4 linked regions of the Drosophila melanogaster genome follow. The protein of the gene in region 4 interacts with the protein of the main gene of each other region in a pairwise test. Each region holds a gene or a part of one and is shown on either strand. Other genes may lie near its edges.

Region 1 (10,971 bases), on a different chromosome or scaffold from region 4:
GTTGCGTGTTTCATAGAATCGTAAATATGTGCGAGTGGCGGACGAGAATGTGAGATTCCTACAGCCGTCTACTTAGGGTCTTTCTATTTGGCCACTTACACTACAGACTATGTATCTGTATCTGCATATATGTACATATATTTGTATCTATATTGGTGTGCGTGCGCCTGAGTGTGTAATCCGTCCATAAGTGGCCTCAAATGCCTATCCATAATGATGATGATGATGTGGTTGCCGCTGCGACCAATAGTTGGTCATTCATCACGACGATTCGCGGGGGGAGTACGATATGTACAAGTATTGGATGGAGTATAGGAATATGGTATGGTATGGCATGGTATGGTATGGCATGGTATGGTTTGGTTTGGTATGGTATGGTATGGTTCGGAACCGTAAAGTATGGTTTCGGTATGGTATGCTATGCTATAGTTGCGGAGCCGAAAACCAATTTATGCCGCATGTCACGCCTTCTTGTGAGTGTCCGTCGGCATTTCGGATACTCATTTGTGCAAACGGGAGGGACAGACCATTTCGAGGGCGTTGCCCATTATAGATCTCATCAGACCAATACTATATACATTTGAATCTGGATTCGTTGAGACAAGCAAATATGTACGTGTGCTTTTCGCAGGCGAGAAGAGCTAGCTTGACTTGTGATTGTGATCCAAATGAGTTACGCACATCGGTCTATTTACGTAAAAACATTACTAAATGATTTAAGGTGGGCAGTAATATATCTGAATTAAATGGCATTTAACGAAAATAGCAATTTTTTGTAGATATTTTCCACTGGACTTTATATCTTTCGAATGGAAAAACAAAATCCGCATAAAATCGATGACTCATCTATATTATTCACATAAAGTACATATGCTCTATTTTCATAGTGAAAACATGAAAATTATGTATCCGCCCAGAGAACCAATAAAAAAAAGCATCTTTGATTACATGTTTCTTCAATTTTGCCGTTGTTTATTTGTTAATAAAAAACTTAAAATCTTGTTGTAATACAGTACACAATCGTCGGGAGGAATTTTCGTTTGCGATAGCAATAACATTTTCGTTCACCTACGATCTATCAACCTTTGCGATGGATTTTTATAATTTTGTTTTTTTTTTTTTGGGTTTATTTTTTTTCTTTAGGGATTGGTTGAATTGAATCTCTTCTGGTTTTTTATTTTTTTAACACACGGGGGGGATATGTTTCAATAGAATTTGCTTGCTGTGTTAGTACATCCAAGTTATACAATACAATATAGTTTTATTGGCTACGAAAAAAATTGTCTTAAAACTATTTAATATATGCCATTCATAATATATATTTCGTTATAAATATCAATACTTCGTTGTACACCGATAGAGGGGGCAGGGAAACGGAACCCGTTCCAAAATCCCCGCTTCTGCACTGCCCAGCCCGCTTTTCAGATGACAGACTTTAATTTTTTTTTTTTTTTGGATCCGATCCTGGGATCCCACACACACACACACACACACTCTCATTCATGCATCTGCACATTCACACTGAGGAACGGATTGAATACTATACACTTAGATGTCGCACTACAGTATACATTATACATTATACATAGGTTTCCAAAAAAAAAAAAAATCCATATAACACATGTACGAGCAGAAAAAGCTTAGTTTCGGAGCAATTCCAGTTTTCAGAGGGGGGGGTGGGGTACTTAGTGGCATTGGTTGCGGGTGTTGCGGGGTCGCGCCTGAGGAGGAGTGCCAGCCATTTAATGGTCAAGCTGTGGCACAGCCCCACCACCTGAAGCTCCACCTTTTTGTGTAATGCAGCACGCCACCAAATGTATTCTTCTTAAAATACGATTCACACACAAAAAAAAAATATAAAAACAAATTTGACTAAGGAAATCATCTAGAAATCATCGCCATGGATCAGCAGTCTGGACATTAGACGGAAATCGGCGCATTCGTGGCCGCCGGCGATTGCTGTTGCGGCTGCTGTTGGTGGTGCTGATGGTGATGATGGTGGTGGTGACCCATGTGGTGATGACCCAGATGATGGTGCTGCTCCTGATGGTGGTGGCTCAGGGTCAGATGATGATGCTGCTCCTGCTGGTGTTGCTGCTGCAGCTGGTGATGGTGGTTGTATTGCTGGTGCTGTGTCTTCAGCAGCATGGAGCGGTACATTTCGGAGAGGAGACTCCACATGGGCGGCGAGTCCTTGGCCAGATCCACGGGTGATCCCGCCGGCAGGAAGGCGGTGGGCGGTGCCTGGCTGGTGGCAGCGGCAGCCGCTGCGGCGGCAAACATCTGGGTCTGCAGCAGGCGCAGATGATGATGCTCCTCGAGGTCCAGAACGGGCAGTGGGAGCATTTGCCGCCGGCTGGTCATGTAGGCACTGTCGCTATCCGGGTCCAGATCCATTTTGATGCTCGTCTGTGGTGGATTGGCGCTAGCGCTGGCGGAGGAACTAGAGGCGGAGGAGGCGGCTGCCGTGGAACAGGCGGAGCTGGAGGCGGTGCTGTCGTGACGCTTACGCTTGCCCAGCAACTGATCCATGGAGAAGGCATCGCTGGGCGAGCGCTTCTCACGCTCCAGCTCATGCTCCTGTTCGGGTTCGTGCTCCTTGTCGGATTCCACATCCTGTTCCTGCTCCTTTTCCGCCTCCCGCTCCCGTTCCTGCTCCTGCTCCTGCTCCTGTTCCCGATCCTGCTCCGACTTGCGACGCTTGTGAAGGCTGAAATCCAATGGCTGGTCAGCTGCCCGCTCCTCATCGGCGGCAATGCTACTACTGCTGGCCAGGCTCAAGCTGCAGTGCATCTCCTCATCCTGCTCATTATCCCGTTCGTGTTCCTCCTGATCCTCGCTGGAGGCCGCCGGACTAGAGCTATTGGCCTGCATGTCCACGTACACAAAGTCGTTGTCATCTTCGGGATCAGCATCCTGTTCATTGTCCACCGATCCAGAATCGGGATCCTGACAGCCGGTGGAAAGCAGGCCCAAGCCATGTAGACCCGCCTGTCCGCCGAACATGACGTACGGATGGTGACCATGATGCGGCGGCGGCGGTGGCAGAAGTCCGGGAAAGGCAACCGGAAGTCGTCCGGCGACAGCGGCCGCTGCTGCGGCTGTTCCGGGCGAGAAAACCGGAAACTGCTGGGCAGTGCGGCCATCGTGCGGCGAGATCTTGCGCCGGATGTGTGGCGAATGGAGTTTGGGATTCGGATTGGCGCTATGGCGATTCCTCGAACGCCTCGAACTGAACACCATATTGCAGCCCTCCACCGTGCACTTGTGCATCTCGCGAAGATGCACGGCCGAAAAGTGAATCTTAAGGGCGCCCTTGTCGCAGAAGGTCTTGAAGCAAATGGAGCACTGTACTCGTTTCTTTCCCGTGGCTGGATTGATAAACTGACCGGCCAGATTGATGGGCGGTGAGCCCCAGCGACGAGGCTTTAAGGATGAACCTGATCCAGTGCCCGATCCCGCTGCCGATCCCGATCCAGAGCCACTGGATCCGCCGGGTGAGCTGGCCGGAGAGGCGGCATTTGGCTGCGGGTGTGACGGTAGATGGGAGTGCACATGCTGGTGGGAATGTGGGCCATGGCCCAGCAGATAAGCCGGTGACATGAACGGATTCATTATGTGCTCCATGTCGTCTGTGGTGGATTTTGTTTCTATGGTCGCGCTGGCGATGGCGATGGCGATGACTGGTGGTGCCTGGAAAACAAACAAGAAACAGAAACGAATCGTTAGGAGTGTCAATCAGGGAGTGTCAATCAGGAAGTCAGTGAATCGGTCAGTCCTAATCGAAAACTATTGCCAGGGTTGCGGGGCAAATCCGATTGCGCAACTACAACTGGGAAACTGGAATCAACCTTATCGCCGAGAGTCAGCAGGGCAAATTGTTGAATGGTCTGTGGTGCCGGGGACATGGACATTGACTCCTGGACCTGGGACATTGGGCAGTGGTCATTGATGCGCAATTAGAGTGCGAAAAGTCAAGACGGTCGAATAAGTCAAGGGGAGAAAACTTTATTTTGGGGGGGGGTCTCAATTAATCAGTGGATTACAGCGATTAGTTGGTCATTGCTGTAAGATACATTCTGAAATCCAGATTTAAAAGAAAGTCTTTAAGGCTGCCAGCTGTGTGCTTCAAAAAAAAAAAAACCCCATTGCTGTTCAAATGGCTTTTTCATTAATTAATATTCGATATCCTTAAGATATAGATTAATATCTGAGGCGAATGTATATGTACATATGACTGCATTGCCACGCCAAAAGCACTAATCTATAGCATTGGAAAGCGCTCTAAAGTCATATCTCAAGTGTATTACCGAAATTCCCAAGTGAAAGCTTCCAAGGAGCTTAGCCAACTTTGTGCAAATCCAGCTAGATTTATTGGTAAGACACACACTGCTTACAATAACTCAGACAAGCGAACATTTATATCGGCGACACCGATGGCGGCATATCTTTCATGTCGAGCCGATAGTACAGTAGAACAACTAGAGTTGCCATGTTTTGTATTTTGAAATAATCAAAAGGGGTATCCCAGTGACTGACGCTACATCATTTGTTTAATCTTTATCATTTTGGTTCCTATGCACCCAATTTCTGTCGTAGCCAAGGCCCACTGTACACTAACACTGGCGCATTACTTGTGTAAGTGCACATTGCCTCATTTACTCGAGCGAAATCTTTTACAGCTTTTTCGGTTCTTCTGGCCATTAAAATCGCCTCTGACAACGTCGACGGCGACGACAACATGCGGCGATCAGTGTCGGACTTCGACTTTGGATCCGATCGGTCGGAGTTAAAGCCAAAACCAAAACCAAAAGCAAAGCTAAAGCCAGAGCTAGCTCATTTTTTTTATTGTGGACTCCGTTCGCTACCGTAATTGTGAGCAGTCGACTTGACGTTAAAAACAGAAACAAATCAGGGGTAAAAAAAAAAAAAAAGAAGTGAACCGAACCCAGGGGCGTCACAAAACTGGGGACAATTGCGGTGAGATGCGGATGACGATGGTGATGATCGTGTGTGCGATGTCGTGGCTGGCTATCTGGATTCGATCTCAAAAGTCGAACACACATTCGCATTCGCTTGCCCAATGCCAGCTAAAAAGTTAAGCCGAAAACCACATACGACTATGGCTCACACATACAGGCATACAGGTAACACGCACACAGTTGCAGGAAGCCAGGAGATGGTCGCTTTTTATGGGGCTCATTAGTAACGATGACAACAATAGCATTAAAATGAGTGTATGTACACACGGCGAAAATGCGAAAGCGCAAGAAAAAAAAAAGAAGAGCAAAAAGGGGGGAAAAAAAACTTAATTGTCAGGTACTTGGAAGTAATCAGTTTCTGACTAGGTGCCGAAAATATTGTTACCATTCAAGAAATAGAGAATGACCCAAAGATGTTGCAATAATTTTCTAGATCATTATAAGTTAACTATATCATATGAGTTGAAGGTGCCTATACCTTTTTATCTTCCAAGAATCTTTTAAAAAAGAGATTCAACTCAAAAAAAAATATAGATCTTTTAACATTTCAATATAAAACAATTCAAGATCTAAGCATCATAACAATCTTGCATAGCACAATAAGGCGCAACGGAAAACAATAACAACCTCTCTATTTTCTCTCAGTGCACGCGGTCGACAGATCGAGGTGAGTATGCATGTACATGGGTAATTATTTTTGTCAAACGCTTAAAATGTCTTAAGCCACCGATGGTGAAAGGGGGGGTGATGTTGGGCAGCTGGGGGTAGGGGAAAAACCAATCACAACTTTTGATGGCTCTCGGACGAAACGTTTTTTGATTATCGGCAGTGGCAAAGGCAGCAAAATGTTGAAAGTACCCAAGACAAGAAACGACAAGATTGAAGAATTCCGAGAGTTGGGAGACGCTTTAGATGGTAGATGGTAGATCCAAGATCTGTGGAGTACGGTGTGTGGCAGTTGGGGATGGAAGATGCCGAGATGTGAGCAATCCGGCGGCTATAATTGCTGTTGTAGTTGCTGTTAATAGTAGTACATTATAATAAGCAGGAGTCGATGGGCACAAGGGGCATGCAAGGGGCATGCGATGGTCCAAAGATGACAACGCCGATGGTCCGGACATCAACGAGAAAAACAGAGCTCGAAAACCGCAGACAAAAATCTTAATTACAACTTTGACATTTGGCGTTTCCCCCGAAGACATCACTTTTTTGTCGTCGAAGCTCACGCAGCAAATAGACAAAAATGGGTTTACGAACATTGGATTAACAAGCTGTTTTCAATTTAGCAAAGTCAGGATATTATAAGAAAATCCATAGACTAGAGGTAAAAGATGGCAGCACATCACCAGAGATCCCATGAAAATGGTAATACCATATTAATGCCACTAGCAGCCTATGTGATCCTAACAAGATCATTATTTACCACGAAAAGAATCCTATTGTTGCGTTCCTATTTCATAACACAATTCTTGAATGGGTAATATTTTTATGGCACCAGGATTTCTTTTTAGAAAATACTCCTCTGATCTCGAAAAATATTCACTATGACTTCACTTGAATTTGAATTCTTTGCTTGAAGTGCCGACGGCAAATCAACTTTACTCGAACTATACATACCTTTTGCTAATTTAGCAGCGAGTTGTAGATATTTTATTGTATTTTGGTTTATTGCTGTTTTTTTTTTTTGTTTTAGATTTTCTCACTTTGTCACAGGTTTGAGATTTAAAAAAAGGGTTTCTTTCGCTTTGTTTTGTTTTGATATTTTGTTGCGTAAAAAGTTGATAAATTCAGATGGTAGAATTCACTGTTGGAGCTGTGTGCTGTTGTTGTTTTCATGCCCGTGGTGCATTTATTTTTGTTGCATTTTGCTGAGATATTAAAAAAGTTGGTCGTTCACAGTTGACGATGACACACACACACACACACACACGCTCGTATGCACGCACACTTATGCACTGGGTCGCGCGGCAGAGAGAAGAGTGGACTGGACGCGAATATGCGGATGCGAATATGTGAATATGCGGAGTGGCAAACGAAGTAGCGACGAAGATGCGGATGTGCGGAGAGCAGGGACAGCAGAGATCCACTTCTTCGAATGTCGTGGGTGACACTGATTGTCGATTTGTCGTTTCACCAACGAATTTGTGCGGCGACTGCGACGCCGGCAGCGCAGCGGGCAGAGAGCGAGCGACAAATGCGGCGACACCGACACCGACACACCGACTGACTGACACAAACACACACGCACACGCGGGGTGGGTGACATTTGGCTCTCTCTCGCTCGCTCTCCCGCTCGCTCTTGCGCCCTCTCTCTTTCACTCTTTCGCTCTTGCACCTGGAAGAGTGTGAGAGAGCGCGCTATTGGAATTGGCCTTCGTCACATTGTCGTCGATGGGTCATTAGGCACTCGCCCGAGTGCGAGCGAGAGATCCGCCCGCACTTGAGTCCATCCCGCTCGCCCAGTCGGCAAAGCAGTGCGAGGCAAGAGTAGCCACCACTCTCTTACTCACGCCGCGAAAGAGCGCCGTCCCGTGCGTGCGAGCGGCTTGGCACGCTCGTGCGGCTATCTCGCGCCCGCTCGCACACTGTCGTCTGAGTGGACGAAACCGTTTCGTTGGGTTGACACATGCGACATGCGACGTGTGTGTGTGTGGTCAGTGCGGCACACACATTCACACGCACTGCCGCCAGCCAAAGAGAACGCAGCGCTCGCTCTCGCCGCTTGCTGGTATGGGTGCCTTGGGTTCGATGGTGTGAGTACATGGCCGGGCACTATAGTGTGACAGAGCGAGAGAGAGGGAGCCGGAGCACAAGAGCGCAAGAGGGAGAGAGCAACGAGAGTGAAATGGCAATGGCCACAGTATACAGTACACAGTACGTAATTTGTCGCTGCTGCGACGTCACTTTTTGTCTTGGGCTTCTCCTCTCTGCTTCTCTTCACGAAGGTTCTTTTGAAATTTTTGTCATTTGATGTCTTGTCCACTCGGTGCTGTGCCCTCTCGCCGTCCCTATCGCACCCGCACGAATGGCCGCGTTGAGCGGCTCTCTTTGTTTTGCGATTGCGCTGTGCATCTGTATGGGTGTGTGTGTGGGTGCGAATGTCGCTGTATAGGTGTATCTGTGTATGGGTGACACTTTGGCAATGGGGGCGATTCGCTTCGATTTTTTTTCCCTGTCGCCACACAGCACCAATGGAATTCGAGCACTGGTGACAAAGAAGCGACGCTGCTGCTTCCTCTTTCCACCCCACACCCCTACCGCAGTCCCTCAACGATCCTATCACCATGACCGCCCCCACCACCACTATATATGTATGTACATATGTATGCATGTATAACTTATGTAAATTGCACAGCTTCGGTATGTAAGTGCCTTATGTGATAGCAGCACCTACACACATATACACAGCTCCTTGTCGTTTCATTGTCCTTTTCATTGCCGAATTAAAATAATTCTCACCCACACTCCCACACAGTATATGTATGTATTTGCTAGACGCCGGAATGTCCCACATAAGGATACAAAAGCACACATACATATTTGGCCACATTTGTTCTTCAATTTATCCACACAAGTGTCCGAGAAAAGTTCTTAAAGCGAAAAAAAACCGTACGGAACAAATCCTATTTGCATTAATCACCATAAAAAAATATAACAATAAGGACCGCATTATTATGTTGCATACCCACAAGGCGTTAGCATCAATGTTGGACTTCCAGGAAATGGTCAGGACTTAATAAAAAGCACTCTCTTAACATTCAATATCTTTAAGTATTACATATCATACCATACGTTTAAATGGTATATAAGGTTCTAACTAAAATTCATTCAAGTAAGTTTACTTACTACTTATAAACCAAACCCAAATCAGTTTCTTGTTAACCTAAAGCTTTAAGCTTTAAGGCTTCTCAAATACAATGCATCACTCATTCAATTAGTTGTTTCTTATTTAGCTTTCGTAATCGCGTAATCGCAAGTACCTTTGCAGAAACATTAATTGTTCTAAATATATAAATAACACAATTTATTCACTGTTGTTTTCCTAAAAACTATGTTTACTTCAATTTTTAATCTGAAGGTGGGAATAAATCCTCCAAACCCAAACTATAATTCTTTCAGATAAACAGATTTATCTGAAACTTAAAAGCACCATAATTCCACTTTAAAATGTGATGTGAAAATTAATGATTATAATTAGATGTGTTGTGAAAATCATTTTTCAACGAAGTTTTTACAGAATGTACCATCAATTTAAGTGACAAGTGCAGCAACCTTTATGCTGCCTCGATTCTATTCAACAAGGTGTCCTCAAATTGCTTGATTTGAGAATAATATCTGATAATATTAATGTGTGGAGTGCCTTTATAATCGATTCCCCATTGCTGAGTGTCACTTTTCAATTCGGCGCCGCCAACTGGCCTTTGTGAATTGATTGATGTGAGTTCGAAGGTGAAAAGTCAATCCTCGAAGGTTTTTTTTTTAATATTGTTTGGAACGAATGGAAATATCTTCTCTGGGGTCATCTCGATGTCGCCCCCCCATTTTTTTTTTTTTCATGTTGGACAGTGCTAGTCAACACTTTCGTTTTTCCTTTCTCTTCTATTGTGTAGCGAAATGGTTTCATTAATCAAAAATTTGGAGAAATAAATGCTCGTTTCTTTCGATTTATTTCGGCCCCCTGCCAGATTTGATAAATAATTGCTATCTTATTATGTCGATTGTCGTTGCTGTCGCCGCTGGAATCAAAATTCAGGGACTTCAGAGTCCCACAGATCCACTGTCACCGGGCTAAAGTCAAGAACAAGATACTGAATCGGAATCGGGCACAAAGTTCTTTATTAACACGGGAATAGCACGGCACCCTTTGTGCACGAACACCAAAATCGAAACGTAATCGAGGTCCGAGATCCGAGACGAAATCGATCAATCATTTTTCACACTTTGTCGTCCAGGTTCTCATTCTCCATCCCATTGCCATTACGATTACCATTACCATTCTCCGTCCTCTATCCTCTATCCTCATTCCCATACCCATACCCATACCCATCCAGATCGAACCATCAAGTGGAGGCCCTGTGGATTACAAAGATCCAACGACTATATGTATATATATATATATATATTCGTACATCTCATCTCTTTCTCGCCGCGTACTTGACTTCAGGTCAATAAATCGTTTCAGATTTTTTGTTTCGGTTCTCTTTCCTCTGATTTCTTTAAATACGATTTACGCTGACACAAATGATATTAAAAATCCATTAATAATTTTTGACCCTGCATCGATTTCGATTCCGATACCCCAGCTATACTCTTTTTACCCACACAAAAAAAAAAAAAATAAAAAAATAACGCCCTGAGCCCGAACCAGAAACCCAAGCTAAATATCAACCTGAGTATCCGAGCATTGATACTCATATGGAACTGCAAAAGGCCATGGGAAGTTATCCAGTTCGCTGGCTTTGCTCTCTTCAGTTCAAACAAAGGCGTCACAACATCTCACATTTAATTACATTTTTTCAGATCAGTTTGCCTCCACGCCCCCAAGCTCCCAACCAAAAATAAAGAAAAGACAGGACAGCTCATTAGTTTTGGACGATTTATCCGGGAAAACTCAAGCAACTGTTCATCAGTTATGTATATGGTAGGCAAGTTAGATCACCAAATGGTTGTTTGTCGAGTGAAGGATTTTCGAAACGAATCAACCTTGCACACTTAATATAATTATCCTTGGTAACCGAAAAAGTAGGGGCATTATAAATAATGATTGTAAATATATAGAGCTCATCTGTAAATTGTGGGTCTGTTTTTTGAGATCCATCCTTTTAAATTAATTGCACCTCTAACTGTTTGAAAGAAAAACAATATGAAATTGAATGATCGTTACCATCTTACATTTTTGAATATAAATATGTTGAATTGCTCTTCATTTTGCTTGCAAGCATATACAATAAATAAATATTTTTAAAATGTCGATTTGCATAGTAACATT
Region 2 (7,868 bases), on a different chromosome or scaffold from region 4:
CAATGGAACTACATGTTTACATCCTTTTTGCTCTTGATTTGTTAATTTAATATAACCCACTAGTTAATCGTTGTGATGACCTACTTTACCATGTGTGCAATTATGGCGAATTGTTGTGCATAATTAACAATTATGAATGCAAAGAAGGCGGAAGTTATTGGCACTGCAAATTAGTTCAGCAACAACAATCGATTAATAAATTGCGACTATTAGACGCTTAAAGACTTTTTGTGCTATGTGAACGATTTCGTAGGCGATTAGAACTACGTTTTTAGGTCTCCGATTTGATAAGATTGCCATTACGCATAGCGAGTATCTAGACGGCTTGTATTTCTTTTTTTTTTTTGTTTACGTTTTATGTGTTAGAGGCCGATTTTAATTTTGAAGGTCACAACAAATTCCTCAAGTTCTAGATATATTAAGAATATTTCAAACACACATGAATTTTAATTAATTATAAATTTATGAATTTATAATTAATTTATGGTGAAATGTTTGTAAAACAAACATCTTTCTTTCGTGAGAAAGGAAGTTTACTTTATAGAAGTTCGACTGTAGTGGCAGCAACAACAGCAGCAACATCAACAGGTTGTGGCCAGCACACACACACACACACACACACTCATATGCACATCCCAAAGAGGGAAGAGAGGGCACCAGTGGGGGGAAAGAGATGGGGATGGGCATAGAGGGAGATGGAGCCACTCTCCTATGCACACTATACTGGTGACCTAGTTTTTGATGCCGTCGAACGCTGCTGCTGCGCTGTTGCCAAACTGCGAAAAAATCAGCTAGAAAAAAAAAGCACGCTAACACAAACAGCGATTTATATATGTGTACGATGTACATATGTACTGCCTAGCATATGTAAGTTTGTGTATCATTACAAGCAAGGCCAACAAAACACGGCCATGCACTCTCTAGAGAAATCCCTCCGTACGCACACATATACATCCAAAATACCCCCAATACATCCCATTTCCACCTTTTTCGAACTGGTCTCCACCAAAGTCGGGCCTGGATTTTCTATATCAATGGTAGTCAAATAACTAGTTTTAAATGCCATTCTAAGCAGTTCATTTTTGAACTTTATAATATACTATACCATTAAAATAGAAGTAATTTAACATTGGGTGTGACATTACTAATGTATGGAGTGGTAGACAATTTGTTAAACCAATTAAGTACCGGAAATGTCATTCATTTCGATTTTGAGCCGAAGGATTCTAGTATAAAATAGTAGCTCTTAGTGATAAATAAGTATCCATTTACAATTTTACGAAATAAAATAAAATGCCAATTCACAAATGAGCTGGATTAATGTATATCACAAACATTGCATAAACACCGACTCGCATTACTCTAAAGTAGGCTCGAATTTCTAGATAAGGCTTGAAAAACGATAATTCGGTTGAGTGTAAAGAATCTTGTATCTATAATATTGTTCAGTAGCTGGGGTATAATAAATGATACCATAGCAACGTTGATATTATATTCCAGATTACGATTGGGCATTACTTCTCAAACTTTGCTAATAGCTTTGATATCCCAAAGTTTGATAAACATTGTGCATTAATTGGAGGAAAACGTTAGCTAGCCTAGTGCTCAACTCACCATCATCTGGGCGTGGAGCTGCAGGTTTGTCTGTCCGGACATCCATCCGCTGCTGGCCAAAGCCTGGACGGTGGCCTGCGATAACATCCTGTTGTTGCCCTGCGACTGCTGGAGCATCGACGCCGCTGCCGCCGCCTGGGAATTGAAGGCCGCTACCGCGGCTGCCCCAAAACTATTTGCCGCATTCGCCACACCATTGGCGCCGGCGGCAGCTGCTGCTGCGGCGGCGCGTTGCTTCATCAGATGCTGTTGATGCGCCGTCGCCGCTGCTGCGGCGGCAGAGGCAGCGTGCTGTTGCTGAGATTTTGAGGTCACCTGTTGGCCACCAGCGGTGTTCGCGGAGGATGATGCGGCTGATGTGTTCTGGCCCATGTTGCCGCCGCTGGAGGAGGAAGGGCCGGACGATCCGGAAACGGAGGTGGTCACTTTTGGAGGCGGCGCCGAGGGTTGACGGGTCCAATTGACCGAGTTGTTGACATTGGCCCGATTGCCAATGAGCAGATTGGAGTCAACCACCTTGCTGGGCCAGTAGTCCTCGAATTCGGTGCCATTTGGGAAGTAGCTTTTGATGTCCGTCAGCGAAATCACGGCCACGTTCTCGCTGGAGAAGAGCTCATTGCGTATGCCCTGCACCTTGCAGCAGAACTTTAGATAAGCCAGGTCCCAGCCATTGAGCAGCTCCGCTTTGGTCTTTAGATTCTCGGTCTCGCCCTCAAAATAAAAGAGCGGCACAACCTGCTGATTGTTGCGCACAGTGTAGGGCACCACGGACTCCTTGTTGATGCGAATAAAGCCGCACTTCTCCGACGGCGTCTTGCTGCCGGAGACTAGTTTCCTATAGCAAATATCCAGGAACTGATAGAACTTGGATGCGTCACTGAGACGCACCACCAAATCCTTTTGGTTGAAGATGTCGCGACCGAACTCGCCGTCACAATGCTTATGATTAATCTCGATGAAGAGACGGGCCTCCGCATCGGTGATGTAGTAGCTGCGCACGCAGGTGCAGCTGGAGTAGATATCCGGATGCAGGCAGTTAAGGTATTTGCCCAGCAGTTTCAGTTCGATCATGCGCACGGAGCAGTACTTCTCCGATTGGCGATAGATGTACGGTATGGATACCTTGCCGAACTGAGCCCAGCCGAAGTGGCCTTGAATGGACTCCTCGTCGCAGGGTCCCGTGGAGGACTTCTTGTCCGAGCCGGAGTCGCTGACGGCTCCATTCGAGCGGCCATTGGAGGCCAAGGCGGGCACCACCTGCATGGTGCCGTTGGGTAGTTTCTGATGACGAGATAGGTAGTTCATGATATTGGTCTGGCCATTGCCATTTGTGATCGGCGGCTGCATGTTGCCACCGGCCGAGGATGCCGCAATGGCGCCCCCATTCGAGTGCTGCATGGCCGCTTGACGGGATGCCTGCTGGGCGGCCTGTTGCTTCTGCTGCTCCTTCATTTTGGCAGCTAGTTCGCGGATCTCGGCGTCATCGGGACGCTCCTGCTTGACGGGCGGTCCCAGGGGACCGCCCAAACTGTTGCCGTGGAGCGGTAGGCTCTGGCCATTGGCATCGATGACGCTAGTGATCTGCACATCCTCGCTGGCCATCGCTCCTCCGCACACTCTCGCTCTTTTGCTCTAGAATGCTGTCTTGCTCGCGCTCTATGTAATCTTGCGTTATCGTACTTTTCCAGACTTTTCGATATCCACACTTTTGGTTTGGTTTTATATTAGGAGCTGTATTGAAAAATTTACTTGTTAGGATGACAGTTCGATTGGTACTGCCAGCATTTCAATTTGATATGTTATTTGTGTATGTATTTATATATATGCTCATATATGTCAATATATATTTAACAAAGACTGCATTATGTCTTACTGATTTTTTTAATTATTCACACATCAAAATGAAATTCTTTTGGCAAGTGTATTTGTTATTTAAACAGAACTATAAAAGAAATAAACAGCCGGCTTGTTCGATCCTTCTCTTTCTGGCACACAAACGGTCACACTGACCGGCTGTCTCACACACACACACACACACACACACACGTGATAATTTTTTTAGATGTTTTCCTTTGCAAGTGTGCGTGTGTTAATGCGCGCACTTATTTTTGTTGTTTTTCGAGCTCATTTCAACATTTTGCACACAATGCTATTGCTGTTGTTGTTTTTGGCATATAAATTATACATTATGTATGCATGTGGTACACTTACACAAACAAACGCTAACTGCATTTTGGCAGTGTGGCAAAAAAAAAAACAAAACTATTTAATGCATTTGTTGTTATATTTAGTTGCTGCTTTCTCTCTCCTCGTTTGCTTTTGGTTTATTAAATTCCTTTTTGTTGTTTTTGCGACGACGCTCGTGGTGAAAAAAAAAAACAATTTGTTTGGTTCTCTTTTCTTTTGATATTCGCACTTTTTCGCTAGTTTGCTTTAGCGCTTGTTCCGCATTCGACGCCGACGCACGTCCGCCCGTCTTCGCAATACACAAACGAGTGTGATCGTTGTTACGAAAATTATTTCAACGAAGTCAACTGAAAAATGTGTACGGCACACACACAAACCTACAGCCGTGCGCTCACCCACACTGGCGCAGCGCGCCGGCAGCGACGCCTACTGCGGCAGCGGATGCAGAGCGCAAAAGAAAAACGGAAAACACGAAAGAGAAAAAAACAAACACCCGTAGCGCAGTCGGCGTCGCTGCAACGCTGCCACGAACATTTTGCCGAATTGTTGTTGCTGCTGTCCGTCTCCCTTTTGCGCCCCCACCCCCCTTCTTATGCATTTTCCTACTCTGCCATCGCTCTCTCTCACCCTATTCGGCTAGCCCCCTCCTCGACGAACGCCTGCTCTCTCTCTCTCCTTCCGCTCATCGACTAGCTCTAAGCTGCGACGCCGACGTCAACGTAGCTGCAGAGTTACAACCCACAGTGGTTAAGACATAAGCAACTTATGGAAATTAATTAAGGGATCTTAGCCAATTCAGTATGAAAGTAAAATTTTATAAAATAATACGAATTTATGGGATTACAAGTTTACCATTTGTTGAATATTTAACCTCACAATTAAGTTCTTTAAATACTCTACACATATGTATCTCGAATTTGAACTTTTTATTGTTAAACTTTCTCTCAAATTCGCATTATTTTTTAGTAACACCATCTGGGAATCAAGCAGATCAAAAAAGGCAAGCTTCTTTGTGGCTTACTCATATAAATGGTGTAAAAAATAATGCAAACTAGCTAAATTTACTTTAAAATTAGTGTTTCCTTGTTACATGTTTACTCTTTACATACAGTTGTACAAATTTATTTGTATATATTATTTCTCTATAAGAATATAATAATGCCATTTTCCCCTGGCATTTGAACCACGGTACAAGGAAAGCTTAAGCTATGCTATATACAAGACCCACACACACTGACACATGTTCACAGAGAGCTGGCTGGGTCACAGTATTGGTATTGGTTTTGGTATTGGTGGTGTGATGATGATGTTGTTGCTTTTGTGCGGGAGTGGGTGGGTGGGTGCTCTTTGTGGGCGAAGGCGTGGCGGGGCGGCTCTATTTTTGGCAAGCACCAAAAGCAAAAGCAAAGGCCCCTGCTTAGCATTCGATGGCCACCTCTCCTCGCTCTAGCCCTCTCCCTTTCCCACATGCCATCACTCTCCCCGTCCCTTTCGCACCGTCGAATGCAAGAAGTTTTCGGTATTCGCGCGCTCTGCGGCTTTCAAGACAGGCCCCGTTCCAGAAGGCAGAGAAAACCGGGAACGACCGAGCACGAACACGAACAAACGAATACACGAGTTCACGAACGGGCGCAGCTCCAAAAGGTCGCCCCGACTCTAAACATTTACCAAAAAAAAAAATTTAATTAGCCAGGTCCAAGAGTCCAAGTCAAATTCCATTGTGCCGCCATCATACGGGGCTAAAAAGTTAACTGCCAGTTAATAACGAGTCCCGCGAAGTACAGTCAGATCAAAACAGGTGTTATTTGGTCCCGAAAACTAAACGTACAGTTGCGCCAAAACACATTGTGATATGTATTTTACTTAATGCAATGTCCACTTCAATTTATTTAGAACCAACTGTAGCCTATTAAAGGTTCTACTTGTTTTCATTCAATCATATGCTTATGTGTGTAATAGGATTACACAATATAAACCGAAACGCAATTTATATATGAATGTACGTAAGTACACCAATCAGTTTTTAGGGTATTCAAAAGCCGAGTGTCAATGGAAGGCACTGCAGTTTATTGGTATCTCTCGGCTTTGGTTTCAGGTGTCTCCCGGGCTTTTTAGTTTGTACGGTACGAGACTCTCCAGTGCGTGGCTTTCTTTAATTCTTTCGTTCTACGGGCTCCCTGTTTCGTGGCATCTCTCTTGATTTTGAGTGGGGGTTTTGATTTTTGGTGTTTTGCTTTGCTAATTAGTCAGCTGTGCGTGAGTGTGTTTGGGTATTTCTTGTACTTTGTGTGGAAGATGTTTTTTGTTTTTTTTTTCTCTACGGCCATGTAAACCCCCTTCTAATAGTGCGGTATTCGTATTTAGTCATATGCTTAACTATGTACATAGATATATATGTATATACATATACATACATAAATCTATATGTACGAGGCTATGTGCAACGGTTAAAGTGTGCGAAATGTGCATCTGTAGTGGTGGGCATACGCATTCGACATCGTCAGTCGCCATCGATGCGAACGAAGAGTGTACGAGAGTGAGAGAGAGAGGGTGTAAGTGCGAGGGGTTGGGTAAGGGGAGAAAGAGGGAGACAGCGTGAGAAGCGAGCGTTACGAAAGGCCCCGTTTCGTGCGCGCTTTGCTATGTAAACACGACTAAACATGTGCCTGCATGTGTGCGTCTGTCTGCATGTATGAATCTAGGCGTACACATGTATGTATGTTTGCATGCGTGGATGTAGACCGTTCGTTTAACCATCAATGGGAAATATTGGATTGGGCGTTGGGTGGCTCAAAACGGGGGATTGGGGCGGTAGGCGGATGGTCGGCTCTGCCGTTTGCTATGATTTTGGCAAGCTTCACGATTGCGCAGGGAACAGAAAACCGATATTTGCTGCACAAAGAAGTAGAACTAGGAGGGCTTACCGAGCTTGATGATGTTTGTACATATATATGTACATATGTATGTATGTATATACATATGTATGGTGGCAATATACAAAAATACAAACGAACAAGAGATCTTACCGCTTAGAAACGGTTAAATTTTGCCAAAATTACGTTAGTAATATTGTTAATACTGCTGGATGTGTAAACACTTTTTAAACAGTCTTGGCTTTGACAGCGACTAATGGCTATTTACAATTTTTGTGCGAGTTGCTTCAGGAATTTTCTCTAACATTTTCTTGTAAATGCATTTGTGCCACCAAACGTTAATGGGGAAAGTCGTTCTACCATCTACATAGTTTCTTAACACAAACTTAAAATTATGCAGATTTGCTGCGTATCTCTTTGCCTCTATAAAATTACCCCACTCACTGCTCCTTTCATTGGGGACTCTGGCCAATCAATGGGGACCGGACATCCGTTCGACCTCGGCTCCCCCCAAGCGCGCAACGCCCACCACCCGCAGTACTTTCCACCGCAATCTTCCCACTCACATCACTTTTTTTCTGCCCTGCTTTCCTCTCCTCTTCTCCTTCTCCGCTGCACTTTGCTTTCTGCTTTCGGCTAATGCGCCCGCAGCACCTGAGAGCGTTACAGAGTGTTGGTGTGCCGGTGTTAATGTGAGCGTGTGCCCAACCCCCCCAAACCATCGCATTGCACCCACTTCTTTCAACACCCACCGCCCCATTGCCACCTTTAACCCTCTGTGTGTCAATTACCAAACGCTCTAAGTGAGTACTTTTTAGGTGGAAAACAAACATTCGAGTTGAAATGCTTGCGGTTATTTCTCTTCGGTTATCTTTTTGGAAGATACACTTTAAATGCGCTTGAACTTATGTCAGTATATGCATAGAAATTTGTGTTTTTCATGATTTCAGATTTTGAAATACGAACGCATAGGATTGGACAGTAATGCGGATGTTAAACTATTATGCTCCACTATTGGGGGATATTCCATGTAAGTCTAGGCTATTGCCACAAAGGATAGTACCATGCGGAACAGGTGTTTCCTCAGCTTTATTTTAAAGGAATTCTACAAACAGTTCAAGTATGCAATTTCCAGTTAAAACTCAATTTGCACGTTTTGTATATTTTTTAAATGTTTATCGCTAAATTCGCTCG
Region 3 (7,891 bases), on a different chromosome or scaffold from region 4:
CAAATATGCCAAGTGTGCTGATGATAAAGATTCCCGTGGCCGTCTTAAGATCTGGATACTGGTCTATCTTGGGGAAATAATAGTTGGGCTTGTGAGAGTACCAGCGACGATCGTGATGCAGGTGTGCCCAGTCCTCCTCGCAGGAATCCGGCTCATCGCTGCCATCCCCACAATGGTCGAAGCCATCGCAGTGGAGGCGAATGGATATGCAGTGATTGTTCCCGCACAGAAACTCCGAGCCAATATAGCAATCTAAGCAATTCGAATTGGTTAATTAAACATTAAATTTAAATTTTCCAATCGAACTCACTCAAGTAGTTGAACACGCTGTAGACGATGGCCAGCTTGGAGGACATCCCGAATACCCCACGCAGTCGAATGTAGTAGCCATTGAGGATGGGCGCCACATGACTCTCCTTGCTCAGCCCATTGTTCGGCCACATCACATTCTCGATCTCCACGGCATCCGAGGTGGTGCCCTGCCGTATTGTGAGCTCAGATCTGGCGGCCATGCCGTAGAAGTCATCCACTCTCAACGAGATGTGGGTTTTCATCATCATGTAGTTGTTGCCGGGCTTTATAATCCAGATGCAGTCAAACAGCCGCACGTCCGTGGCATTTTCGATCATGTTCATCATGGTGATGGCGCCACCAGGTCCGGTAACCATTCCCCCGCAATCTAGAGGTGTAATAGAGATATGTACATAAGCATTTATTTATGTGCTCTTGCATCATGCATTGTGATCCAACCTGTCGCAATAGTGCATAACCAACCCCATTCCGGATTATATACAAGTATTTGCCAACCACCCTACGGGCAATGATCCAAGAAATCGATTGTCTTACCAAACCGAACCCAACCAGAGTCACCCAGTTTCCACTTCAACGCCTTGCATTGACATTGATATTCGCCAAGTGCCCACCCCACCCACTACCTTCGCCAAAATCAATATGACAATTGCCTGCAGACTTTCAAGTGCTCGACTAATCCGAAAATCATTAAAATGTCCCTATTCCTACAGAGAAAAGATATACTAATCCATTTAAAAAGTTAATCAATCTGCGAGTTCTAAAATGAAGATAAGCATAATGTTCTATACTTTTAAAAACCTCGAATTTTTTAATCCTGCGGAATATTTGTGTTTTAACCTTAGATCTGAGTTGTTTGATAGTCTTAGTTTTTGTTCAGTGCACTGCAACCCATTCACTTACCTGTGTAGGGCACCAGTCGCTCGTCCTTGAGCTGCTTGGAGGATACGAAGCTAACCTCCGCGCGAAAACCCACTCCGGTGGCGGAATTTCCTCGAAACTGCAGGAGCAGAGACTTGCCGCTGCTCACCGTGATCGGCGGACGGAAGTGCTCACCCGTATAGGAGTCCAGCATCTGGCCATTGGAGTCGAAGATCTCTAGGGTGGAGGTGAGGCCCAGCTGGAAGTCGGTAAAATCCAAACGCACCTGGCAGTTGTCCGCCTCGCAGGTGAGGATGTGTTCGATACCATAGTCGCGTGGATATGCCATCGGGAAATACGGCGTGGAGATCACTTGTGGCTGGGACTTTGTACTCCCATTGCCCACAATAGACTGCTTGGGGGAGCCACTGACTATCCGCACGTTGCCTATTCCGAGGGAAATCCGGATAGAGCATTCTTAAAAACCTACCAACTGATTCTAAATCTTACGTTCCGAGAAGTATTGAAGGGAGAACACGTGCGCATTGCTGGCTCTGTAGAAGAATTTCAACTGCAGTGTCCTGGTTTTGCTCCGAAACACCTTGCCATCTCCACAGAACTCTTGGCCGGAAATGGTGGAATCATAGGGCGGCTCCGAGAACTGGATATGCTCGCAGGGACACATGCTGGACTTGCCACCCGTATTGCCGCAACTTTTGGAGAAGTTGGCATAGGTGAAGGCCACTCGGATGACGCACTCGGCACAGGTGACCAGCTCCAGGCTGCACTGGTACCACACATCCCCGGCCACTGCATCGTTCTTAAAAACCAGCGGCGAGCTCTGTTTTTAAGTTCATAATTGCTGACCAAATCCCGTCTGGAGAAGCTTGTAAATACACTTACTCTATAGGCAGTAGTAGTCACATTCCTGGCGTGCACCTCTCCAGCTGGACTTCCCAGTTCCAGGAAGTGACGTCTTCCGTCCCAATGATTGCATATATCCAGATCCCGGTAGCTACTGCTGGCGGGATACGCCTCTCCTGGCCAGCAGAGCAGGCAGATCACGTAGGCCAGCAGGTAGCCATAGCCCAATGCTTCGGCTAGCATCGATAGTTTCGTCCTTCTAACAGGATCCTGAGCCCCTTCCGCTTGAACCGTCTCGGTCTGGTGCCGCCAAGTGTTAGAACACAACTGTGGCCATTTCGCTGGCAAATCCAATAAACCCAGAGCCATCAGAAGCCGCACAAGTGGACCGGGCCTCGTAACGAGCCCACCCTCGACTGGGTTAAAGACCTCTCGAGTCCGGTATAAAAATACATTTATTTGAAATTTCTTTTCCGTTAGACGTTAAAGGGAAATCAGGGTTTTTTTTTGCGTCTCGCAGAGACAATGAAACAGTGGGAAACATGCATCGAGGACACGGATTTTTAGCCTAGGACATGCACATCTACAAAAACGAATGGAAATATTGTGAATATGGTGACGAGGACAAGGCATCGCTGAGTAGTTTTCTAGAGATGCGAGGCCTGCTGCTCGGACTGAGTGCCGGATAGTCATTTGGCAGCAACGGCATTCTTGGCCAGGGCACCCTCCAGGTTCTTGGCCAGCGTGTTAATGAACTCAAAAGTCTCCTGGTAGTCCCTGCGAGTAACGGCGTTGATGTTGCCTTTAATGCAGATGGCCAGATCCTTGGTCATGGCGCCGCTCTCAATTGTGTCGATGCACACCTGCTCAAGGGTGTCGGCGAACTGCTTCAGTGGCTCATTGTTGTCCAGCTTGGCACGATGCAGCAGGCCACGGGTCCAGGCGAATATCGAGGCAATGGGGTTGGTGGAGGTCTCCTTGCCCTGCTGGTAGAAGCGGAAGTGACGCGTCACCGTTCCGTGAGCGGCTTCAGCCTCCACGGTCTTGCCATCGGGGCATAGCAGCACGGAGGTCATCAGACCCAGAGATCCGTAGCCCTGGGCAACGGAGTCCGACTGCACATCACCGTCGTAGTTCTTGCAGGCCCACACGAAGCCACCCTCCGACTTCATGGCATAAGCAACCATATCGTCGATGAGACGGTGTTCATACCAGATGCCCGCCGCCTCGTACTCCTTCTTGTACTGCTTGTTGTACAGGTCCTCGAATATGTCCTTGAAGCGTCCATCGTACTTCTTCAGAATGGTGTTCTTGGTGCTCATGTACAGCGGCAGCTTGCGGTCCAGAGCATATTTGAAAGAGGCGTGGGCAAAGTCCACAATGGAATCGTCCGTGTTGAACATTCCCAGGGCAATACCGGGGCCCTTGAAGTCATTAATGACCTCATCGATCACCTGACCGTCGGTTCCCTTCCAGGTGAGGGTCAGCTTGCCGGGTCCGGGAACCACGTAGTCGACGGCCTTGTACTGATCGGCGTGGGCATGGCGACCGATCACAATAGGCTTCTGCCAGCCAGTCACCAGACGGGGCACGTTCTTGCAGATGATTGCCTCACGGAAGACGGTTCCTCCCAAGATGTTACGGATGGTACCGTTGGGCGACTTCCACATCTTCTTCAGGTTGAACTCCTCTACGCGCTTCTCGTCGGGAGTGATTGTGGCGCACTTGATGCCCACGTTGTACTTCTTGATGGCCTCAGCACAGTCAATGGTGACCTGGTCCTCGGTTTTATCGCGGTTCTCAATACCAAGATCGTAGGTATGCAGCTCAATGTCCAGGAAGGGCAGAATCAGTTGGCTCTTAATGGAGTCCCAAATGATGCGGGTCATCTCGTCACCGAGGACATCCACAACGGGACCGGCTTTGATCTTCTGGGCCATCTGTTCGGGAGAGCATACCACACTTGAGTGCTTGAAGGGCAGGATGGGAATCTTATTAGCTACATGAAAAATGGATTTGTGTCTGAATGCTGCGGTATTGGGGTATTCACCTCGCTCACGGCGGACATCCTTTCATTATCCATGGATATCTTATGGGTTTTGGGGTCCTAAGCACAGGCGATACAGGCGAAACTTATATGTATGACGATAATAAACTGACAACTGGTCAAAGCAAAGTAAACTTTGATCAGCCTGGGATAGGGTGGGTCGATATTGATGGATGGAAATTAAAATACACCGTGTTTCAAAAGTAATCCCTTATCTTTACTTTGTAATATTTAATATTTCGTCGTGACGACGTAATTATTAAGGTACTTGCCTAAAAGTTAATATCTCTACTTTGCATTCATAGGTTATAAATTTAAGAAAAAATTGTTCAATTTTTTTGTATAAACAGTAAATATAGTAATCCTATTTATCGGATGCTAGCAGCACAGGTGACTACGTGATTGTTTATAATCTTAATATTGAGACCGACTTCAAAAAATTCAAAATATCTTTTTCTCCTGCTCATCGACCCACCCTATTCCGAAATTTAGTAAGCAAAGAGATTTAGAGCGACAGAGGGCGAGGATACAAGGAGGACCTACCGCGGCGCTGATGGCGAAATTGGCCCGAAAAACGGCCTGGCTGAGATGCGGCTGCCGGTGGACCGACGTCATCATTGCGGCTGTGCGGCGCAGGGCGAACATTTTACAACCGGATTGGTGTGGATGTGGGTATTATTATTATGAATGAACCGACCGACGACTGGAAACGAGAGACGATAGTGTTTGTCACCAATGTGAAACAATACGAGACAATATGACACTGGAGTCCCGGGAAAGAGAACAATTTTCGGACAAAGCAAAATTAAATGCTGTGGGCGTCAGACGCGCTCTAACCGTAACTGATAACTGTAAAGTGCCGTTAAGCGCTACAGTTTCCGACTCTCTTGGGTGGCGTACAATCGTCAAATTGTTGCGCAATCGGCGTAATCACAACGTTCTAAATGCCCAGTCAGATAAGATTTAGAACCTCGGACTTTGATAAGCTGCTCTCACAACACTCGGCACACTTAAAAGCAAGTGTTTTAATTAATAATGTAACGAGAGTATAAAAAACAATAAGCACTCGGCGAACGCGTAAACATGTAATCGTTATCGCCGGCTGACTTGTCAATCGCTTTCGCATTGCGGGTGGCATTGTCCCTCTCTTCCGAATGACAACTGTTGCGTTTATCAGCTGGCGAAAAACTTTTCCACTATTGCGGGCTAGCCACTTTTATTTAAAGTTCACGGCCGACTTGTTTTGATAAGGAATACAAATTAGAAAAGCGCGTGGCATTAAGCTTATTTATTCAACTTCACCCGAATTCAAAATCAGCTGGTACGTGCGGTACTATCGATAACGATAGTCGAACTGACATGTTAAAGCTTAGATAATATTTGAACTTGGGCGCCAATCTTTTTTTTTTTTTGTTGCGAAGGAGGCTCGCTCTGATTATCTTGAAACGTCTACCATTCTTATCTACTCAGTCAATGCCATTTACTTCCAAATTAAAATAGCAATTGCGTGATGTTTTTTTGGATTTTTCTTCTCATATTTAATAGATCCATTGTCTGACTTTAATATAAATATCTCTAAGTCTTTATAGGTACATGTGTACCTAATTAACATATTGAGGTGGCGCGATCGCCGAACACGCCATAAGCTGAGGCCACGCCCACAATTATATATAATAACAATATTTATGCTTTCACCAAACGAATTTCACAAGCGTTTTTTTTTCTAGTCCAACTGGGAGAATTCGAACATAGTACGATATTGATAAGACTTGCGATTGGTAAATAAGCTGGTAATGACGGGGCGAATAAATTATCTAGATCTAATCTGATATTTTCTCATCTGGTGTTTTTCTAGTCCCAGAAATATTTATTGTTGAAATAAAAAGATTGCATGATGACTTTTGACCCTTGAACTTTATGAAACTGTTAATACAAAATTCGCTAGAAATAAAAAAGAAAACCTAATAAAATTATGGTTTTAATTTTTCGACTGACAAGTTAATAAAAGAGTCCATCTATCCTTATCAAATATAAGTTTACGATAATCTAATTATAGTAATTAATTGTATTCAGATCTGACTTCTAGTTTGATAAATGAAAAAAATAAACGTCGACTGTTTAAGTTGTTTAAGCACTCAAAACATAGGACAAACTTAGAAAGTTAAAAACATTTCCAAATTGTGCATGCAAAAGTCCCAATGAGATACGAGCTATCTGGAGGTTTTCTCGAACCATCTATTTGTAGATATGCATAGTAATTGTATAGGTTTAATTAAAACTGTCGACACGAATTCAAGATTAAACTTTGGACAGCACCTGGAGAATCAGGTGGATGTGAAAAGGCCTGTCGAATGGGTTACGTGTCTCTCTCTCTCCACATATATCCCCCTCTTTCACACTGTCGTCTCTTCACACTTTTTTTATCCGTATCTCTCTTTTTCGAGGAGGCAAACCGGTGCAAAGAAAAAAACAAAACAGCGGCAGACAAATAAAATGCATATGAAAACAGACCGGTGGGGAAAGTTCGGGCCCAAATAGGTTGGGCCAGAGGTTATGCATAAAGTTAAAATGCGCAACTTATTTGCATTAAGGAGGCTTGAATTGCGGCAAATTTACGTATTGCAACCGATCTGGAAATCCACCATTTTTTATTTGCTCAGATAAATTGCAAGTCAGCCTTTGAGTGCAGTAAATAGCTGGGCGGAATGCGATCGGAAGTGTGGGTGTTTGGCGTGGAGTGTGAACCGGTTTATATAAGGCTAAACAAATGCTCCACTTACCTTTTAGAATATTTAAAATGCCGAATTTAGAATGTTAGAGCACAGACTAATTAAATTGCAGACCGAAAGATCTCGAACCACTCCCAATCAGACGCAGCGAATAACTGAAACTGATTTGGCGACGACAACAATAAAGAGCAAGAGGTGGCGCGTGTGGAAGATAATTCCGTAGATAAAAACATGTTATTCAATCAGCTGCTTGCGAAGAGCTTTCTCACGAACTTTAAGCTTTACTCTCGAGTTCTGCAGCACTCAGTATTAGTTCGTCTTGCTGAACCGCCAAACATAAAATTTGAATTCTCAATTACCGCAACTTGTGAGAGCAGCGTGCGTTCGTTTGCTTTAATGACGCTAAAAGAAAATCCATAAAATGTGCTCCAAAAGTGAAATGTTAGCCGGCGCCGTTTAACTGGTCTTAAATATGCAAAAAAAATTTAAAATTGCCATCTTTTGTTGTGACCGCCTTTAATATGCGAAAGTGTGCTGCCATTAAGACGCGAATGCTACGTTCTTTCGCATAGTTTGGACAGTTGAAAGGAATGTGGGATATTCAGTAATGATAATAAAATCATTGAATTAGTTATTGAATGACGAAACAAGAAAATGCTCATTAACATGTTCCGTTGTTATTCTTATCGCGCAAAATTACATATTTTATTTTCCCCCCTAGATAAATAGTTACCCATCTCATTAGGGACCGCACCCGATAAGCATTTTCAAACATCATGGAAAACATCAAATGCGGCGACAGCCAACCGAACATGCATGAAAATCACTCGATCTTGGGCCTATTATTTGACAAAAACTGGCTAGAAAACTCGTCTAATTGCGACGCTTTCTTTGCTTTTGCCGTGTGGCATTAGATAAGCGCCGTTTATGCTCGCTTATATAACCCCCAATTATAACGTGTCTTAATTTGTGCATGCCAATGCATTAAATAACATATTCGGTTTTGGCCCATCCTCTCAGGTAAAATAAACGCGTGCCGGCGAAACCTCAATGTAAACGTGCTTTGGTTTTCTGCCCTGCA
Region 4 (5,575 bases):
ATATACATACAGTTAGCCAAAAGGGAAAAGTCCAATGTGGTGAGGTACATTTTTTACAGATTATCATTTTAAATATGATATAAATATTTGCTATTTATGTGCATTTTATATGTTCATAGTGTCTGCGAATAAATATTGACATTTTTGTTGCACAAATTAATATTTTTTGTCACAGTCAAATACTGTAATGCAAAATGGTCAACTATCTCCTCTTGCAAATGTTATAATATTACTATGTATATACTCCACAAAGCAGCAGGAATTCAAAAAAAAAGAAAAGAACTTTGGGCAACTTGTAATAAGCTGCACTTAAGAATAATTCCTACATATTGACAACTTCGTAGTGTAAACTTTTCAATGGTCACTTATGAGCTTTTCCCCGAAAACCGATGCTTGACAAGTTGCCTCTTTTGAGATCGGCCACAAAGGCACTTCAAATGGAGGCCCACACAAAATAGAAGAGCCATACTCAGCATGCGGTCAGCAAAAAACAAGAAACTAAAACAAAAGCACCCAGAAAGCAGTTTGAGCAGAAATTGCCCATAACGAGCACTTGACCAGGGACAAAATGTGAGATGCCAGAGTTCAGAGGAATTTCACATCTTTTGTATGCCTTTTTATTTCGGGGGCATGAGTATCGGTGGCCCGATAGCCGTGCTTCTTGTGGCAAATAAATTTAAAGTGCTCGAAGGAAAAAAGTGAAAATAACGTTGCACTTAAAGACCGCACATTTGTCTCAATGAAGGCCGTGTCACAAAAGTAACGTTAAGTTCTCCTTTTTACCTAATTTATACAGTTTACGCTGGGCGGTTGTCCAATGTCCACTGTCCCAATGTCCTGCGGCCCCTGCGATCTCCCATTTATGTCCGGATTCAGGGAGTGGAAGCCATATAATTGCGCTTATCTCTTGGCGCACACTCAAGTGGCCCGGCTCAATATGTTTTTGGAGTGAAATGAAGTGCCCATCGTATCCACTTGGAAAAGAAAAAAAAAATGAGAAAAAAAAGAGAAAAGAGGCAGGGCGGCCAAGAGGCACTGGCATTGGAATCCCGGCAGAAATTTTTGTATTTGATTTAAAAGGAAATACCTTTTTTAGTTGAAGCCTCACTTGTTTACCCTGCTGTTTTGCTTTTCCCTGGTGTTTCTCCCTTTTTGTGGTGACATTTTTATACACTGTGTGTGTGTGCAGGGGGATAAGTTTTTGGCATCCTACCAATGAGATTATCTTAAGTGGGGTGTTGTTTTTCGGTTCGAAGGAATGTGGAGGGCCCTCAATTGCAGTCTTGAAGCTGGGTTCCCTTTTTTGGTTCGTTTAGAAATGAGTTTCGCAATAGTTCTTAACTGTCTGGGGGTCTGTGGTTTTTCCTTTTCTCCAACAGCGAGCTGTTATTGGTAAATCGATGTAAATTGCTTTTTAAACAAGTTGAATGAATAAATTATAAGGCCAAATGGAATGCCAAGCGGAGGATTCATTGCCAATGTTAATAGTGAGAATTTTTGAAATTGTTATAAAATCCAGCGTTTAAGGTAAGCACAAAATTTGATAGCACAAAATATTATGAAATAAGTTTCAGTTATTATCTTTTTTTAATCTTATTGTATTTTAAAGCTAAGTATATAATAAAAACTCAAATATTTATTTATTGAAGCGTAGTTATTTGACATTTGCTGATTTGCTGATCACAACCAAAACAATTGCTTTTCATTATTCAAAATTTAAGCTGGCCGATTTAATACCATTTGAACAATTCCAATTTAGTTTAAATAAGTTACATTGTCCATTCTCTGATACAGACTTCTCATATATATGGATATATGTATATGTATATGCTGTGAGTGCATCTTTTGAAAGCCTCAAGTGTGAACACACATTATAATAAACGCCTCAATTGTTGTTCAGTCATCTGCGTAATTTATGTTTAGCTAATGTTCAGGGATCGATGAGCTTGTCAGCTTTTGTGAATCACAACGCCCGCAGACGCACACGAGGTCCTGTATATCCTATATCCTGTCCCGCACACACATGCCCTAACATTAACCCCCCGAAAACCGAAGGAAGCTGGAAAATGGCGTTAAGGTTGCTTCGTTGAGTCTAATAGACTTTCATGTCTGCCTCGACATTGCCGTTGCCCCAGTTTAGAGCGAGTCCTGTACAGAATCCTTTCGGCATCTTCCATCCCATCTCATACTGGTGTTATTCTGCCCAGAGTCGTCGTTTTTTTTTTTTTTTTAGACATGTTTCAATGATTTCTTATTTTTGCCAGAGGGGCGAATCTGTTGCGCTGCTGTTTTGTCGTTAGAGAAATTCAATTTTTTTGTATTTGTCGCTTCGATGTTAAATCATTGATGTGTGAAATTTGTGAGCTCAGCCAGGAGGAGAGCAGCATCAACAACTTGACTTTGATCGATTTTAAAGGCAGTTTCTCTAGCCCACTTTGATTTCCTTTCTGGCTTTCTAGCTGGTTTTAAATTTTTCCACATCAAGTTGGCTTCGGGAAGAATTTCCCAGGGCATGGGCTTGGTTTTCTTAGCTCAGCTCATTCCAGTCTATTTACTTGTTTTGTAAACAGCTCCGTACGCTTTCACCAGTACATAAACCAAAAGTACGAAAAAATTTCGTGTTTCAACATTTTTGGAAATCTTTACTCAAGCATTTCTCTTGCCTTAAACAAAATGTGAGTAGTCCTAATTTCCCCGAAAGATTTTCTATCGAATATCTCCTTCAGTTATAACCTATCCTCCCGAAGATGTGTTGCCAAGGAGCTTGTGGATCGGTATCCTATGCCCTGGCTTATGGCCCCGTCGGACCCGCTCTGCCAGCCATGAACTATAATAACTGCTGCTGTGGACCCAATCCTCCCTGTGGTCCCTGGACATGTCCTCCTAACAGGTGCTGTTGTGCCGGCGAATGGGGTTGCTTTGGGCCTTTTTACTGAGAAACCCAAGGTACGACAATTCCTGAAGAAAACGACGTGAAATTTTTTTGTGCTTTTGGTTTGAACCACATTTTCACTTACACAATGGTTCGAGCTTTTCAATAAATTAATGTACTTAAACAAGTAACTTCTTATTTACTATTTGTCAAATTTCTTGAGAAATTTCATATTCCATTGATACGTATATGAAAAATAAGAAAATATACCAAAATCCTAGATAGCACAATCTTACTAGGATTGAGTATCCTAAGTATACCATGAGGTATAATTCTTTCTCTAATGGTTCTTGAAATTGTATGGCTCAAATTTAATATTCCTTTAAAAAAAAATATACTAAAATTGTCGACAGTTTTACCAGGACCAGGATACCGATAGGAAAAATATGAAAATAATTAGGCGCGACAGCGTAGGTACAAGATCTCTAACTAAGGAACAAACTTACTTAGTCAGTATTAGTCCCTCAAATTTTTATTGGTTTCCCATGGAAATGGCTGGTACAAGAAGATCTACACTGATAATTTTAGTAGTATAAGACCGCATTTCCTCCTGGCGTTTATTCGTCTTCCTTTTTTTTCTGAGTACTCGCCAGTGTGCAGAGCTGCGCATCCAGTGGAGACAGGATGTGCGGAACATAGCAGTTGTTGGTGTTCTTCTTGCGGCTAGTATCTAGAACATAACACTTATCGCAAGGACCGCAGGGCGTGGGTATAAAGTCCCGACCGGTGAAACGCAGTGTTGACAAGGGAGGATTATTGCAGGCCAGGTCAAAGGAGGCACAAGCCCAGCCACCACACATGGTTAGGAAACGGATGTGGGAACTATATGGAAATGTGAATGATTAAAAATAAAATTTTTAAATAAAATTTTATAAAAGCATAAATGAAACTTACCCCGGTGAACGTTTAAGGTTGTTGTTCCGACAAGGACTGGACTGGGACTGAATGATATTTGTTTCATGGCTGACAGCCAACAGTTCCCAAGGCCTACTTCAAGATAGTTGAATTCCGGACTCTCCACCCAACTCTGTGGCTACTCCAGGTCAGAGATCACCTAGCACCCGCAGCAGCCACCGCAGCAACCGCCGTAAATGGAACAGTCATCACATGGACCGCAGGGCGTGGGTGCGAAACAGCGGCCAGAGAATCGCAGTGTCGACAGGCGGGGATTGCAGCAGGCGATATTGTAGGAGGCACAGGCCCAGCCACCACACATCTTGACTTGGTTTAGGTTTTCCGAAACGTGTGCTCTTTTTACTATTGTTTTTTTTTTTTTTGGGTGGGGTGTATAGTTATTGGCCCTGGAGCAGACACAAAATCGAGTGTTTGGTGCCGAAGTGGAAAAGGAACTGAAGTGGATTGGGTTTCCCAGGGAGCAAAGGCGATTTTTCGCTCTGACAGCTATTGACAATCTCATCGACGCCGCCCTCGGGTTAGACTACGCTTTGGATATCTGGCCTAAAATGAAAGCTGGCTAAATCGGAACGAGAGAGTGGATGGCACCCTGATGCTGAAGTGAACTACATTTTGGAAGCCCTTAGCCGGGATCTTCAATCATATATACCATATTATGGCATGTTGTGGGAATATATAAATTAAATTACTCTATTGGTGTTCTCTGTGACACAACCAATCAAGTAAGCGTTACAAAATAAAGTACGAGATTGCATACTGTTCAGAACAACTTCATAATTCTATTACTTCTACCACGAGTTTTAACTCGGACCGTTGGCGATGCAAATTTCTATCCGCCGAATAACGAACCGTGATGAAAGTTTTTGCCACTCCGGTCCATGATACTTCAATCCAACTCCTATTCATCCAGGCGGAGACAATCAATTACAATATCTCCCGACGGACCAGAGGCCATGTAAGAGGGTGTCTGCATGTGAGGATCTAGTAGACAAACCCACGCATGGTCAACTGTGCAAATGTAACTGAGAGGACATGGGTTCGACGAAGCGTGGTGGTTCTGGTTGGATATTCCTAGCGACCATACGTCGGTTTTAAATGGTACCGCAAGGCAGGATGTGTAATTGAGATGTAATTTTAATTGCAATGTTTTGGTGACAAAAATAGAGTGATGGAATAAAAGTACTTTTATAGACTTTTATAGGAAGAAAAATCGTTAAGTTACCATATAAATTGCAAATTATACATGGAATTACTTAGTCTCCAATATATGTTTATTCGATACGATTCTAATTTAAAATGTTTTCAACCGCATGTATCCTTGCCTTTGGTGTCACTTTTCCAGTAAATACTTGAGGAAACTGCAAGAGTTTTTATTCGACAGGAATTATAAAATTTTCCCAGTGGACTTGTGACTATTGGCGGACAAAAAAGGTGCTAAATAGGCGCCTGGAGCTGTGAGCTGACTGTCCATCACTGCCCCGGAGTATTTAGCATTTTTTTTAGCGGCAAGTACTTAGCAACAGGTTGCAAAGGGCTAAGTAATTTCTAGGATGAGTTGTGCTGCACCGCGATGCCGACCGCAGTTTGGATCCTGTGGGTCTGGTTGTAAGCCCTGCGGCGGAGGTGGCTGCTGTGGATCCTGCTGTGTTGGTGGTTCCTGTTGCAGGGGCGGTACAGGAGGATGCTGCGGCGGATCCTGCGGCGGATCATGTGGCGGTTCATGTGGTG

Evidence for each region.
Region 1: the proteins of CG31820 (region 4) and disco interact in a two-hybrid assay, tested with the Drosophila melanogaster proteins (one large-scale study listed by BioGRID).
Region 2: the proteins of CG31820 (region 4) and CG43736 interact in a two-hybrid assay, tested with the Drosophila melanogaster proteins (one large-scale study listed by BioGRID).
Region 3: the proteins of CG31820 (region 4) and Idh interact in a two-hybrid assay, tested with the Drosophila melanogaster proteins (one large-scale study listed by BioGRID).

The regions. Positions count from the first base shown.
Region 1 is NC_004354.4:16,209,652-16,220,622, forward strand, and holds disco (disconnected), read right to left. Parts: upstream 7,100-10,971; 5' UTR 6,600-7,099; intron 3,694-6,599; 5' UTR 3,628-3,693; coding exon 1,921-3,627; 3' UTR 947-1,920; downstream 1-946. UniProt on the Drosophila melanogaster protein: Required for the establishment of stable connections between the larval optic nerves, the Bolwig's nerves, and their target cells in the brain during embryonic development.
Region 2 is NC_004354.4:6,864,738-6,872,605, reverse strand, and holds the start of CG43736 (uncharacterized protein), read right to left. Parts: upstream 4,380-7,868; 5' UTR 3,826-4,379; intron 3,346-3,825; 5' UTR 3,217-3,345; coding exon 1,615-3,216; intron 1-1,614.
Region 3 is NT_037436.4:8,353,932-8,361,822, forward strand, and holds Idh (isocitrate dehydrogenase), read right to left. Parts: upstream 5,010-7,891; 5' UTR 4,727-5,009; coding exon 4,625-4,726; intron 4,195-4,624; exon of another isoform or gene 4,142-4,194; coding exon 4,085-4,141; intron 4,005-4,084; coding exon 2,724-4,004; 3' UTR 2,473-2,723; downstream 1-2,472. Other genes in the region: Culd (CUB and LDLa domain), read right to left, coding at 1-252, 311-679, 1,213-1,617, 1,681-2,011, 2,074-2,277.
Region 4 is NT_033779.5:16,003,267-16,008,841, reverse strand, and holds CG31820 (uncharacterized protein), read left to right. Parts: upstream 1-2,562; 5' UTR 2,563-2,675; intron 2,676-2,726; 5' UTR 2,727-2,747; coding exon 2,748-2,936; 3' UTR 2,937-3,053; downstream 3,054-5,575. Other genes in the region: CG13245 (uncharacterized protein), read right to left, coding at 3,490-3,732; CG43816 (uncharacterized protein), read right to left, coding at 3,987-4,148; CG34167 (uncharacterized protein), read left to right, coding at 5,398-5,575.